Linked DNA regions of Arabidopsis thaliana. The protein of the gene in region 2 purifies or fractionates together with the protein of the main gene of each other region. This does not show direct contact. Each region holds a gene or a part of one and is shown on either strand. Other genes may lie near its edges.

Region 1 (4,755 bases), 3.4 Mb from region 2:
CCATATACAATACCAAATCTTAAACAAAGATACCATATGTGTGAATCTTTAACGCAAGTCAAAATATCAAGGTTTGGCGCTCGAGGGTGACACCAAGATGCAACACTGTGGCAAGCTAGTTTCGGGACAGGTTTAATTCTACGTAGCTCCTGTAGAATAAAAGTAGATATGCATGTTAATAAATGAGATCGGGAAAATATGAAAAATCCATACATGAGATACACCATTACCTTAAATGTCATTGTATCCCATATGGCCAATGTCTTGTCAGCCCCAATTGTAATCAATTGTGGAGCACTCCCACTTACCCTTGACAGCTCAACAGCCACCACCCCACCATCATGTGCCTAATACAATCAGAACAAAAACATTAGAAGAAGCCAAGAAGGGATTAGGAAAAAAAAAAAAAAAAAGTATAACAGAGAAGTGGAAATTATCCACTCAATTAAGCAAACATGACCATGTCTATTACACCAAAAAAAAAAAAAAAGCACGAGCATGTCATAGTCCCCTAATCATTACTCAGCCTTTTATAAAAAGAATGAAAGAATATCTAAATGCAAGTATCCAACATTCAGAAACAGACACAGAAATCAATTCAGAAGGTTCACTGGAACTAAGAACAATGGTGCCTTAGCCTCAGCTGTAACCAAATCTGGCAAATCTTTCCAGGCCTAAGAATTGAACGGTCATGGTAATATCCTCTCTTGAACTTTGAATGAAAGAGTGGGCATAATTGAGTACCTTTAAGCTAAGCTTGGGTACAAGTTCCCTTGAGTCAGCGCCATGATCGGCACTCCACAGTACAAGTAAGCCATCACTGCCACCTGAAACAAGGAGTGCCTGCAATTGCATTTAGATAGAGGATGGCTAGTATCATGTATTGCACATAAATAACAGAGAGAAAATACTTGATAAGCATTCATTAAAAAACGTCAAGTTATATAAAAGGGAAGAAAGCCCAGTACTATCAGAAATTCGCTATTAACATAACCTAAACAAGCAATTGGGAAAAGAGATGCCAATGTTTAAAATTCCCGCCGCTCCTAATGCCTAGGCTATGCATGAAATTTAACCCGAGTACAGATGATCTAAGAAACTAAGGCTAGATATTTGGATTGTAAAACAGGTATCCGTATAGTAAGGCCTGCTGCGGTCTGGACTCCCACTTAGTAGAATGTGAGATTTTTACGTCGCTAAGAAGAAAGAGATATATGTAGGAAACTTCCAAGACGATATGCTCAAGACCTCGTTTTCATATAATATATACAGTCGATCTTAGTAGGTGATCTTGAGTATGTTTTTCTAAGTTACATGACACTTTCATCTATCAGATGGTATTAACTATTAACATATTAAGTAAATAACTCGAAATAAATTCAGAGCAATAAAGAGGGCATATATAGGGAATATGTAGTTACTTCGCCAGATGATGCCATGAAATTCATCAAGCAATAAATGGATCCTTTATGGCCACCTGTATATCGACGTGCAAGCTGCAAGGAAGTAAACATTCAAGGAAATTAACACAGATCAGTATCAAAATCCCTCACTCTAAACCCAGCAGAGAAACCAAAAAAAAAAAATATAATTTTGAAACAAACAAACCTTCCATGTTATCATTGATAAAACCCGAATGACACCATCAGTTGAACCAAATGCAACTAAAGGGCCATCACCACCAGATGATCTCGAAAGAAACTCCATGCTGCAAAGAAAGGAAGAATTCTAGCAACATTAAGGAGGAGTAGAAATTAAAAATGTAGAAAGGGAGTTTGGCCATTGACTGAACATTAAACATCAAGGAAGCCTGGTATCCATTACACTTAGAACACACATATCCATTACACTTATGCCTAGTCTACATTTGACTCAAATATTTCCAGCGTAGTAACTAACGGAGGTCTTTCCAGGATTCAAGTGATTTAAAGATAGGAAGCCTAAAGTAATGGAGCATCTTCCCCGGGGTCCAGGTGTCAAGCAAACCCATATCCTAAAATTAGAGAAAAAGCAATGAACTTACCAGAGAAGTGACTTGTTATCAAGCTCTTGCTTTGGCACATCACGACCACGCATTGTCACCAAATCCAAGAAAATAGCTTTATTCTCACAACAAATGACCAGAAAATGACGGCCTTTAGTCGATGGAGCAGGGGAAGTGAAAGCAGATGTCAGATGATTGACAGCTGATGGAGATTCAGCAGCTGCGGAGCGGTTGCGCCACAGTTGCCAATAACGCACATCATCGTCATAAAACTTCACCTGCTTAACGCTAGTAGGTGCAAACATTGAGCAGATAAGTCATTTTTCTCATTATCGAAAGGAGCAACTGAATTAGCAGCGAGAAAGATCTATCTACTACCTTCCTCCTCGAATGGCTTCAGTAGGCTTAGCTTTATAGTCTGAGGAAAATACGAATGTCAGTAAGAACATAAAGCATCAGAAACTCATACTCATTTCACCAGAATAGAACAATGGCTCACCGGATTCTCCTTCGGCGAGCTTCTCTAACTTGGCACCAACTAAACGGCGCTCGTCAACTCCGCCGGCTTTCAATTCATAAATTACCTAACACAATAGACATAAACGTTGACAGATCCACGATTCGAAATCAGAACCGGAACCAAAATCAAATCAGAATCTCGATACAGACCTGACGATGCTCCCAATTCCAGACGGAGACGTGATCTGAATCATCAGCCGTAACAAGCCATGGATGCGTAGGATGTACCTGTATCTTCACAATCTTACCATTGGTCTGCCGAAATGCTCTCGCCCGCAACATTTCGATCTCTCTCTCTCTCTCTCACAGTTCTTCAAGATCAATTAGACAACTCAAAAATCTGAGCACAACTGCATCCGCATAGACGATTCGACTCACGAGAAACTCTCCAGAGCTACACACTAAAAATTTCCAGAAAAAGCAAGCAGGGCTATGGTCAGATCCAGATCAATTAGATCCACCGCGGTTATCAAATGAAATGCCCGGATCCACCACCACTAACTACAATCGCCGAACAAAAACTCCGGTAGTGTCTTCAGACGCGAAACGCGTAAAGCGCGAATTTGCGAAGGCTAGTCTGATTAACCCAAAAAAAAAGGCCCAATAACAATTGTTTTAGCCCTTTCCTTTGTCGCAAAATATATTCCATTTACGGAAATTAATTGTGGATCCGTTGGATCACTGAACTTTTTTTTTTCTTGTTCATAAGTTTCTTTTTTATTCAAATTATGGGTTTACAAACATCACTAAAGCCCAGTCATCAAAGTATTTCACAAATCCATAAAGGGTACAACTAAACACCTTGTAGTAAAGAGTACAGCGCTAATAAAACAAGTCAAAGCAACATACGACACGTGGATGTGACTTTTCTCTTACGCCGATGATTGTTTCATCGTTATCTCCCAGCACCACCATCAAATCCGATAACCCACCATTTCCTCTACGACAATCTCATCACGCTTGTAAATCTGACTCTCTGCTCCACAATATCCAGAGTTTATATTTGATCTAAATTTCTCCAGAACAGCAACGATCTATGACAAAAGAGAAATAAAAAACCATGATTTCTCTTGATGATTAAATCTTACCAGATATGCCGAATTGAGATTCTAAATCAAAGGATTGAGAGAATCGATTTAGGTTGAAACAAACTCTAATAGTTGATTAAAACCCAAAAGGTAAAGATTAGAAATGAAACAAAGATTGACTTTCATCTAAATAAGGATGCAAAAAAGCTTGAGAAAAGAGGATGATAAGGAAAACCCAAAAAAAAATTGGTACTAAGATCACAATGATTATTGAAAAGCAGAAAGGTAAAACCGGTATCAAAGAACTGGAAACTAAAGCCGGATTCCACTAAAGAGAAAAGTAGAAACCAGACGGCGAGATAAGACGGCAAAGCCGGACCACGTCCGGATACAAAAGCCAGCCACCACCACTAAAGAAGCCAATTGATGCTGGAAACGAACCAACCATCGTCGTTAAAGAAGCCGAACGATGTTGGACGGAGTCTTGCCATGAATCGCTTTTTCTTTCTCTGAAAAATTCAAGTGAGAGAAGAGAGAGAAAATCGAGAAGCCTCCGATCACTAAACTTTTAAAGAGAATTCCAAATGAATTATCTCAAACAAAATGACTATAGTATTTGGTGTAATAAGGGTTTACTATGTTTACAACTAAATCTAGAATTCGATAAAAAGATTTGCAATCAAAATTAAAGTCTTATTTAATCTTCAATTTAATTTAATTTTTTCTTTACAGGTTTCATTGAAGTTTACTCAATACACTTCGATTTTTTGTTTTTCCCGTCTAAACTTGTTTTCCTCATACACTTATAGAAGATCTTAACTTAATAAAGAACAATAAAATCAACGCCGCTTGTCTTCTTCAATGCGAGTGTAACCACATCGGACTTCCACGAGCTAAATATGATCTGCATCGACCTTCTCTCATTACGCTTGTGGCTATATCTCGTGCGATGAAACCTTAAATACGATCTTATCAAAATTCGGGAGAAACCAATGAATCCTATCAAGATAAGATAAATACGTGGCCAATCTAATGGGTCACTAATGGCTTCCATAGGAGCACCATAGTCGGACCAAATCTCAATATTATAGAAGTGTAGATCACATAGACTGTGTAGTACCCATAATATCCCTCTCAACTCCGCAGCAATACGATTTGATGTTGGTAAAAACATTTCTCCCGCATGAAAAACAGCATCACCATGATGATGCCACATATATGAGC
Region 2 (5,226 bases):
TCTTTGACGTTAATGTCGAGCTCAAGATCCAAGACACCTCGCTTCAACACATTGCAAAGACAATCGTTGACAATATTATACTGAGCAAAATCCATAGACACCAATTTCAGAGAGAATCTCTTTATACGGTAACTGGCAGGTTCAGCTAATAATCCATCAACAAAATTCTTGAAACTTTCCCAATGATGGAAAACAACGTTTCGTTTGATAGTAACCAAATTCTGAAAGTTCTTGGAGACAAACTTTAAGCACGTAGCCTCCTTTGCCGAAAGAAAAGAAACGATGTGGTAAATAACATCGTCTGGTAAATTGCTGAATCTATCCATACTTATCCCAAACCCTAGAGAACCGATCGATCAATACCAAAAAAACTTCAATTTTCTAATCGAAACAAGAAATCTGAAGCCAACACGAGATTCAATATTGAAATTGTGATACGATCGACGACGCCAATTCGAGAGCTTTCTGACGCGAATCAAAGAGGAATTGACGAATAACTAGAGCGGAGTTGTGACATTTATTGAAAGCAAAGAAAAGAAACGAACACGACTGGGGTAATTTGAATCCACTATTTTATACTCGACTACTAAAACAAAGCTCTTATTTTTTAATCCAATGATTTTGCGCCAGCTGTTATTAGCCACTCCCAATATTCATGCATTGGTGATAAATTTATCTAAACAATGTATCGCAAGTCTCCGCATAAATTTAAGGGACAAAAAGAGGCCAACACAAAGAAGAAGGCCGGAATCAAAAAGATCCAACGGTCAAAAGAACTCTGCAAAGAATTCAATAAAGCTTTTGAGATGACAATATCAGATCACTCTTTAGATTGAGAAGCTTCTTCTTCAGAGATATATTTCAACGGACAGTCAATCCCTGAGCTGCTGATGATGTCTGAGTACCTTCCTCTGTTGCCTTATTCGATTCGATCGTGCTGATTACATTCCTAACATTGTCCTGCACATACCCGAACAAGAAACATCTTGTTATTACAACGAATTTTCAATATCGCAGGATTTTCAAATTTTGGTTTTATATTTTACCCGCCAAGCTGCTAGCTTTGTTCGAAGAGACTGCCATTGCTTTTGTCCAAATTCACGCTCGGCACAGCGGCTGATACATGAACAGATATGAAGTACGAGAATGTGTGACTTTGGATTTACACATATAAATCGAAATAGAAGTAGATTAGAAACTTGCCTGACAATTACAACTTGGTTCATCTGATCCATCTTACAAGCAACCAATTTTGCAGTTATTGCCTTAACCACCCACAATTCAACCTCCTCGTCATTTACCTGCACCCCCGACAAATTCGATGAGTCTGAGAAAGCAACGCAAAAAAGGTTATCAACATTTAATGTATTGTTCGTAGAAAAGAAGCTAACCTGTAGGGTGTTCTTGATCGAGGCATACGGTATTTTGCCAGAATCATCTGAGGCCAAATCAACTAGGGACAACAACCTCATCTTTGCTACACAGTCTTCCTCGACAAGTCCTGCAGATACCGTCTATGGCTTATTATGGGTTCACTAAAGAATGAAGGATTCGATTCATCTGAGGATCATGTCAAGCGGTAAAGGGATAAGAACAGTACCGTATGTTTGCAGAAATCCTGAATTCGCATTTTGGAATTCCATGTATGCATCTAGCCTCTGAGTAAGAAAAATCTTCAGTAGCTGGTAAACTGGTGCATTGTTAGGATCCTTCTCCAACTGTGCGACAGCTGGATGGTCTAATAAATCACACTGCAATTCAAAATACAAAAGTCAGGGATGTAATTCCAGTAAAAGACCTCACTGAACAAAAGGCGCAGTAGTTAACACTTACAAGCTACAATGACAGTAACAAGTCAACGTGCAAAAATCTTACGCATTTGAATGAATGATTTATGAATTAGGATACCTGAAATATACTGGGAGCCTTGACAAATTCAATAACTGCTCGTACAGCTTCCTCCTTGGCTTCACTCAGGACTTGGGTATCTTCATTGGAGAAAGTTGCCAAATAATTTGTCACAAACTGGAGGGATTCTTTCGCAAAACTGAAATATTGATTAAAAATCCCATGAGGACATTGGTATACCTTAAAAAAAGGAAAAAGAAGAAACAAACATTGTTGCAGTACCTTTTATTTTCTCTAAGCACTTTAGCAATAGCAAGAAATAGTTCCCGCTGATCTTTGATGTCAATGTTCCACTCTTTCAAGAAGCTGTCAATCTTCTTAAAGGAAGGTACAATATACTCGGTAACCTTCCCGTTTACAGCCAGTTCCAGAGCTTTCATGTATACTTGAAAACGAGCATTTGGGTGGTCTACCAGATTATATAGATTGAAGAGGCTGCACAGAGACAAGCAACAGATGAGAAACACATAACACAAAAATGAAACATTAAAATAGATGCTCAAAGACTCCTAAGAGAGATTAGCTCAAAGAGTCACACGATCATACATCTTCAAACGCAATGAAGCTTTGTCGTTTGGTTGTTGAATAACCTTAGCAGCTATAGCTTTCACCATTTCAAGGACTTCCTCAGGACTGTTCGCATTCTTGACAAGGTTGCAAATGATGGTGTAGGTACACTCAAGATCTAATAAGAGGCAAACACCATCAAAATTAAAGAGATATTATTTATGGTTAAAAAGGACTAACAAACATATAGACCTGCACACACAAAAAAACAGACCTTTCTCAGAGATTTTGGCTGATACCAAGTCAGCTGAAGTTACCATCAACGTTGCCAAATCCAGCCACTTCCCATTTATTATAGACTCCTCTGCTTCCTTACATAGCCTGGAAACTTCAGGCTCTGCGACCTAATAAGCAAAAGAAATCATAATCAACTAAACAATTCCATAGTGAGGCAATTTTTATTAAAACAATCAGATCAAGTGAGATTGCAATAGACACATGGTAGCTAAAACACTAAATTGCTCAATTCAGACTTCATTTTTATCAACACAACGCCTCAACAATCAGTGATTCCCAAATTAAGGTCGCATAAAGACAAAGATACCCAGAAATTGCTCATAAATTCCAATAACGAAATGTAGCAACTTTCGAAATAGACAATCGTATTCACTAGTCGATGATTGAGAACAGAGGTTGGTACCGACCTCGGGACCAGCATCAGCCCAGGCAAGCTGGGAAGTGAAACGAACAATGGCGAGGTAAGGATCTTCTTCGGAGGTGGGAACAATCGTCGTCATTCTCTGCTCGACTGAGTCTCTAACGCTAATCCTAAATCCCTAGCACAAGTTCGAGAGAGACAAAGCAACAAATTGAAAGCCCTAATCAACGTTTTATGGTTTTTCTCGGTTCAGAATTGAACCGGATCCGGTCTAATAATAAAATAACGAGGGAAAGAAACGGTTTTGTGCATCAAAATTAACGTACACAATCTAACGGTCAGGATCAATCGTATAATTTGGTGACCGGCTTGATTAGCCACCGTGATCCGCTTAATTGTACGTGTTCTTTTGGTTAAATGATCTCAAATGTTTATACTTAACAGTTGTTTGATAGATAGAAGCTGCAAGTCAAACATGATGATCAATTTTGGCTTGAAACATCCATGTTGTTAAGACAAGTAATGAACTAGTCCGAGACATTGCACTGTTGTTTATGCAAAAAAGGTTGAATTTCAGGAAGCTGTTATGAGAATGGTGACCGAGCAAGGAACATGGAACTTGAATAGTTGTATAACCAATAGCAAAGTTTGTAAAATGATTTTCTTTTGCTGGAAACACATTCTGGAGATCTCAAGATTGAGAAAGCTTCGTAGCTTTTTCAAGAACACAAGAAATGGCCAAATTCAAAACAATCCTCAAAACCAGTTTGTAAGGATAAAGAATAAAGTTTAGAACAATTTTTACATTTTTTCAAAGGGTCAAATGCATGAGATGTTTGTCGTGGAAATAGAAATCATTTGTCAGATCCACAAGGACCAGATCCAAACAAGTAACCCAAAGAAGATCCTCCACCTGGTGCAGCATGAACCTTCGTAGATGGTCGTTCCTGTTTCTCAAACCACAAAACCAAATCAGTTTTAAATTCAAGTTCCTCAATCAAACTTGAATTTAAAACTCTTACCGTGAGGAAGTTGCCACAGTTTTGTCCATCTGATCTGTAGTAATTATTAGGACTTCCTCTCACACCAGCCGAGTTCTCCTCTGTCTTGTTTTTATCTCCGGTTGTTGTAGTTGTGGTCGTGGTCTTGGGTCTACCTCCAGCTCCATCCGTTGTTGTTGTGGTGGTCGTGGTGGTGGTAAAACCGGTTTTAGCGTTGGGCTTGTTTGGTTTGGGAACAGACTCGCCGGAACCAAAAAGATAACCGAGAGAGCTCTCTCCGCCGCCGCTGTTAACTCCTCTAGCTTTCCCCATTTTCCGGCGAGAATATTCCGCCGCCGATTCTTGAAATTCTAACAATGTGTAACATTGTAAACATAATCCAGATCAATATATCTATAATTAATTTGATTACTTGTAAACCATTAAAGACACATAGGAGAGAGTTTTTTTTTTTGTACCTTTTTTTTCCTGATTTGTTTCTTCTTCTACGATTGGCCGCAAGTAAAGGTAAAGAAACAGAGGAACAAGGAGATACACACATGAATGTGTATATATACAATCTACACGTGTAAGATAGTGTGTGGTGAGAAATAGGCATGAAGTTTATGGTAGGCACGTGTGGGGTTAGTTGTTTGGTAAATCGCTTAAATTTTACCCGGTTTTTTTTTGGGTAAAAACCGGTTTGATGGACCAAAATGATTATTAATCATGAGCCGTTTAAAACATTCTTTTATGTTGGTACAACAAAGCTGTTTGTAACCATTTATGTTTAACAATTGTCATTTTTTATAGATTAAAAGATTCCAATCACAGAGGAAATAGTGACAACCCACGAAATTGTGGATTATCAATATTATCATCTAAATCATTGACAGGGAAAAGAGGGAGGCCATGATACAAGATTTATATTCCATTTTTAAAATTTCGAACTATACCATATTGCTAAGTATTTTAAAGAAGAAGAAAAATGATGAAAGTGTTGGAATGGGCTTAGGCCTCTTGAGAAAAGGAAACTACAAACGTAAGCCCAATATCTTTTGAGGTCCATCCAATTTGTGTTGGGCTATATTTCTCAACATGAAGTTTATGCTTTTCTGTAGTTTTTTTTATATCAAATTAGTGCAATTTTTTTTGGTGTTACTTTCTTTTTTT
Region 3 (4,724 bases), 3.9 Mb from region 2:
AAAGAGATATAACCAAAAAAAAATAACCGTCAATTGTTTTACGAAGTTACGATAAAAAGACAAACGAAAAATAACCATCGATATTAACAGAAAGTTACGATGAGAAAACACAAATAAAAAGTAACGATAAAAAGACAATAAAGAAAAAAATAACCGTCTATATAAATAGAAAGTTATGATAAAAAGACACAAACGAAAAAAGTAGTTATCCCCACCAAAAAATAACTGTTAATATTAAAATGACTGATACAAACGAAAAGTTGCGATAAAAATGTACTAAAAAAAAAAATAACCGGCAATGTTAGCGGAAAGTTACGATGAAAAGACATGAACACATAAATAATCGTCAACATTTTTAACTAAATGTTGTGATAATAAAATACAACCGTTCAGAACAGCAAAACACAATTTTTTGGATTCATCATAAAACAAATAATTTGTGGTAAAAGACTTTACGTCATTTGTTCTCTTTTGGTTTTTTGTTCACCTGTTTGTTTGTTATAGAAGAAAGTGACTTTAATGAATTAGCGATGAAACAATTATAAATGATTCGATGACACTACAATTTCACTATTGTTGATGAGATTGAGACAATCATATAATTTTCTAACAGAAGAACAAGAAAGCTTGCACATCTTAAACGGAAAAAGTTGTACTACTGAAGACTAAACTCGTCGTTGGCATATAGAAACAGGACAAATAGTTCGAAAGGAACTCGATCAAAAACTGAACTGCCATACTCAATATGAAAAAAAAAAATGGCAATAATTCAAAACAAAAATGATTTATGGTTGAAATTTGAAGACAGTTACTCAAAAAGTGTTTGGCTCCAGGTAAACTTATGGTTTATAAGAGAAAGCATCATATCAGATTGGGCATTGATAATTAGGTGTAACACAGAAAAGTCGTCATTCCAGCTTGACACGATCCATGTCGTTGATCACACCTTCAAGCTGCGCAATGGAGGAAAAAAAAGAAGAGCCAAAGATCAAAACAAGAGTTCATGTGCACTAGTCTTAGTTTCAGTTTATACAACATACCTTGGCAATCTGCCGCAAGAAGAAATCACCATAACGTTTTGCGGGTTTTGATTCGACAACGTAGATCATGTCCTGCAGTGTCACCAGGTTTAGAGTTGTTACAAACGTTGTAAAAGCACCAGAGTATAGATATCAGAAAGACAGAGAGAGAAGAAAGAACATACGTTGTTGATGAAGAAATCAATGTCTGCATTGGAGATGATCCTACCATCGGAATCAACTGAATGGGTCTTGTGCTTGTATGTTAACAATATGGTCCTGCAAATTAAAACCCCGTACATGTCAAAGAAAAAGAGAGAAGTAGATTTGGTAATAATAGTTATAAGAATGCCCATAGTTAGTCCCTGACCTTAGAGTGGGCTCATCAACTTCCATGTAGTTTGCGAGCTTAGCAAGAGAAATGGAGGAGTAGACTTTCAGGAAAGTCCGCACTCCCGACAAGAGCTGCTGCTGCTTTACCTCGTAAAGGAACATCTTCAGCTGAAGCCTGTATGCATCCTGATTGTAATTGACAAGAGGTTCCTCGAAAGTTGGTGGTGCGGAAGGGGTGATAAACTTGGGGCATGCGTAAGAGAAGAGCTCATCATAAATACCAAAGGCCTCGTCGTCAGACCTCAGCATCCTCATCATCTTTTCACCATACTTGTCTCGCAGCTGAGAGTTGACAGACTCGTCAACGAGTTTAGTTTGAGGGCAGAGGGAGAGGGAGAGAGCAAGCAAAGCGTACATCTGCTCATTCTTCTTGAGTAATTGCTCGTACTGAGGTGACTTTTGATGGTACTGCTTAGTCTTGAAAATGTAGAGGAGAATCTTGTTGAACTCACGAACAGCATCGACATACCTCCGCAACATAAGGGTGGCAAATCCATAGTGGTAGATAGTAGCGATATGGCAACCAATGACACTGGTGTAAACACCTGGCTGAGTGATGTCAATGGGCTGCAACCATTTGAGAGCAGTGTGGTAGTCACCGAGGAGGCAGTGAACACGCAAGAGACCGACCATGCTGAAGTAACCGAGGACCTTCAAGACGTTGCTGCCACCGCTGAAATCGTAGCCATCAGTCTCAGTGAACTCAAGGCCATCCTTGTCATGCTCAAGGATCTGGATGATACAAGACTTCTCCACAAGTGCTTGCAAGAAGTTGAGCACGCCATAGACATTCCAGGCCTTATCGTGCTGTCTGAGCAATGCAATCTCCTCCTCTGTTTTGTTCTTGAGCTTTGCTCTGAATTGACAGAAACTTTGGAACTGGTAGACAAACTCATCCACCATATCCCACAACCACTGGTTCGGCAACTGCATATTCACTACGCCGTGCAACACAACCTAGAAAGAACAAACGGAAGAAGGTCTACTTACTTGTATTTATTCCCAGCCAATACATACACAAAAGAAATCAAAATCAACAACATCTCTATCTAACAAGGAAGAAGAAGTAGAAGAATTCCACAACAGACCTGAAAGAGGCTGCAATAGTTGTCATAAGAATCAATCCTCTGCTTCAACGTCGGAGACAACCTCGCATACAAATGTCGAAACCACATCTCACGGTACAGAAGACAGAACACATGGTCGTTGTCTACGTAAGGAGCAATCGCTTCCACACTTGGCCACGGCGTGTCCTTGAACAGACGCTCCGATATGCTCTGGAACGATGTCTCACACATCTGGTGGATCTCGTACACGTTCTTATCCCTTATGTGTCTGTACATGTGTGACACGAACGACTTCACCGAATCCGGCACCATATTTGGGTCGTACCCACTCTCCCTCTCCCCCGGACCTTCCTCATACTCATTGCTGCTCGCCATTCTCGCCGGATCAATTCTTAGCGGCCGCAACAATGTTAGCTCTTAACTCACTACCACCGCCTAGGGTTTCCTTATTACCACCGGTTCTATCATCCGGTTTCGTTTCCTTATTACCACCGGTTCTATCATCCGGTTATGTTTTTTTATAAAGTCATTTTAATAAAACTTTCTATGGTTCGGAAAAAAAAAACTTCACATAATCATCGCTATTCTCTCTCTCTCTCTCTCTCTCTCTCTCTCTCGCTCTCATATTTGCAGGTAAAGCTTCGTTGATTCGTCCTCTTTATGTTCAATTATAGTTTCGCATCCCTCCTATGTCTTTCTTTCTAGATCTTAAAGCAGAGTCATTGCTTAACCCTAATTATCACTGTTCTTGTATAAAACACTTTTCACCTAATCATTGAGATTGTTACGGGATCTGATAATTGCGTCTGTGAATTACAAGAAATTAGGGTTTATTTCTTCTTGATTTTAGATTGATCTTTTTGCAGTTGACAATTCGTTCTCTTTGGGAAATTAGAGATGCAGGTAAATTGCTTAATTTTTTTTTTGTTTTGTTGCAAATTCTCTGTGTATGTTTATGATTTGATTTGATTTGATTGATGTAATAGGCATCAAGAGCGCGACTGTTTAAAGAATACAAAGAGGTACAGCGAGAGAAAGTAGCAGATCCTGATATTCAATTGATCTGTGACGATACCAACATATTCAAATGGACCGCTCTTATCAAAGGACCTTCGGAGACTCCTTACGAAGGCGGTGTTTTTCAGCTTGCTTTTTCTGTTCCTGAACCTTATCCTTTGCAACCTCCTCAAGTTCGATTCTTGACCAAGATATTCCATCCTAATGTTCATTTCAAGGTTTGCATCTCTTTTTATAACAACCTTCTCCTGTGATAAAAGGAAACGCAGGTTTTTTAGTTAGTACTTGGGAATTTTGTAGACAGGAGAAATATGTCTCGACATTTTGAAGAATGCTTGGAGTCCTGCTTGGACGCTTCAGTCTGTGTGTAGAGCTATCATAGCATTGATGGCTCATCCTGAGCCGGACAGTCCTCTTAACTGCGACTCAGGTACAAAATGCTAGTTTAGTGTTTTCAAAAATGTAACCATGGGCGTTCGGGTATTCGGTTTGGTTCCCGTTCGGTTCTAGTTCGGTTCCGATTCTTTCTGTTCTCGATTTTAGGATCCATATAGGAACCGAAACAGTTTCAGTTCGGTTCAGGTTCGGGTTCGGTTCTGAAGTTTAGGATCCATTAGAATATTTTATTTCGAATATTTCAGATATTTTTTGTCTTTTTTTCCGGATATTTTGGTGTTTTTATATATTTTTCCTTATTTGGGTATTTTTGATTATTCAAACTAAAAATAACTAATATCTTTGGATATATAATCATATTTCGGATACGCAAAATATTTTGGTTCGGTTCGGGTTCAGTTCTAATTACTTTGGTTCTAGAATTTAGGATCTATTTGAGTAGTTTACCATTTCGGGTCGGATTCGGGTTGCTTCAGTTCGGATTCGGTTCTTTCAGTTTGATTATTATGCCCATGCCTAGTTTTTATAGTAAGCAACTGTTTTTTTTTTCTACTGACGCTTTTGTTGTGGTTGCTATGGAAAAAAGGGAATCTTCTAAGATCTGGTGATGTGAGAGGGTTCAATTCAATGGCACAAATGTATACACGCCTCGCCGCTATGCCTAAGAAAGGATGATGATGATGATGATCCTCTTGCTTTTTTTTTGTTTTTTTTTTTGAAATTTGTAATGATATTGATTTGCGAGAGTGAATACATTATTAACGAGAAGAAGATGATTCTTCTTTATTAGTTCACAATATTACAATCTGTCAAGTTGTCATATCTTCTTGTT

What was found. Proteins that work in one complex are often made in the same cells at the same time.
Region 1: the proteins of AT5G15610 (region 2) and AT5G24710 fractionate together in Arabidopsis thaliana (co-fractionation; one large-scale study listed by BioGRID). This does not show direct contact.
Region 3: the proteins of AT5G15610 (region 2) and AT5G25757 fractionate together in Arabidopsis thaliana (co-fractionation; one large-scale study listed by BioGRID). This does not show direct contact.

Annotation. Positions count from the first base shown.
Region 1 is NC_003076.8:8,465,136-8,469,890, forward strand, and holds the start of AT5G24710 (Transducin/WD40 repeat-like superfamily protein), read right to left. Parts: upstream 3,039-4,755; 5' UTR 2,786-3,038; coding exon 2,654-2,785; intron 2,569-2,653; coding exon 2,484-2,568; intron 2,403-2,483; coding exon 2,363-2,402; intron 2,273-2,362; coding exon 2,024-2,272; intron 1,709-2,023; coding exon 1,609-1,708; intron 1,497-1,608; coding exon 1,422-1,496; intron 844-1,421; coding exon 745-843; intron 348-744; coding exon 231-347; intron 150-230; coding exon 34-149; intron 1-33.
Region 2 is NC_003076.8:5,077,565-5,082,790, reverse strand, and holds AT5G15610 (Proteasome component (PCI) domain protein), read right to left. Parts: upstream 3,334-5,226; 5' UTR 3,213-3,333; coding exon 3,120-3,212; intron 2,820-3,119; coding exon 2,690-2,819; intron 2,594-2,689; coding exon 2,455-2,593; intron 2,344-2,454; coding exon 2,131-2,343; intron 2,048-2,130; coding exon 1,909-2,047; intron 1,752-1,908; coding exon 1,601-1,751; intron 1,502-1,600; coding exon 1,392-1,501; intron 1,302-1,391; coding exon 1,047-1,301; intron 961-1,046; coding exon 862-960; 3' UTR 557-861; downstream 1-556. Other genes in the region: AT5G15620 (F-box/RNI-like superfamily protein), read right to left, coding at 1-326; SP1L4 (SPIRAL1-like4), read right to left, coding at 3,928-4,020, 4,096-4,386.
Region 3 is NC_003076.8:8,964,607-8,969,330, forward strand, and holds AT5G25757 (RNA polymerase I-associated factor PAF67), read right to left. Parts: upstream 3,035-4,724; 5' UTR 2,855-3,034; coding exon 2,501-2,854; intron 2,370-2,500; coding exon 1,390-2,369; intron 1,299-1,389; coding exon 1,205-1,298; intron 1,113-1,204; coding exon 1,041-1,112; intron 954-1,040; coding exon 909-953; 3' UTR 539-908; downstream 1-538. Other genes in the region: PEX4 (peroxin4), read left to right, coding at 3,377-3,382, 3,466-3,714, 3,797-3,926, 4,479-4,567; AT5G25770 (alpha/beta-Hydrolases superfamily protein), read right to left, coding at 4,702-4,724.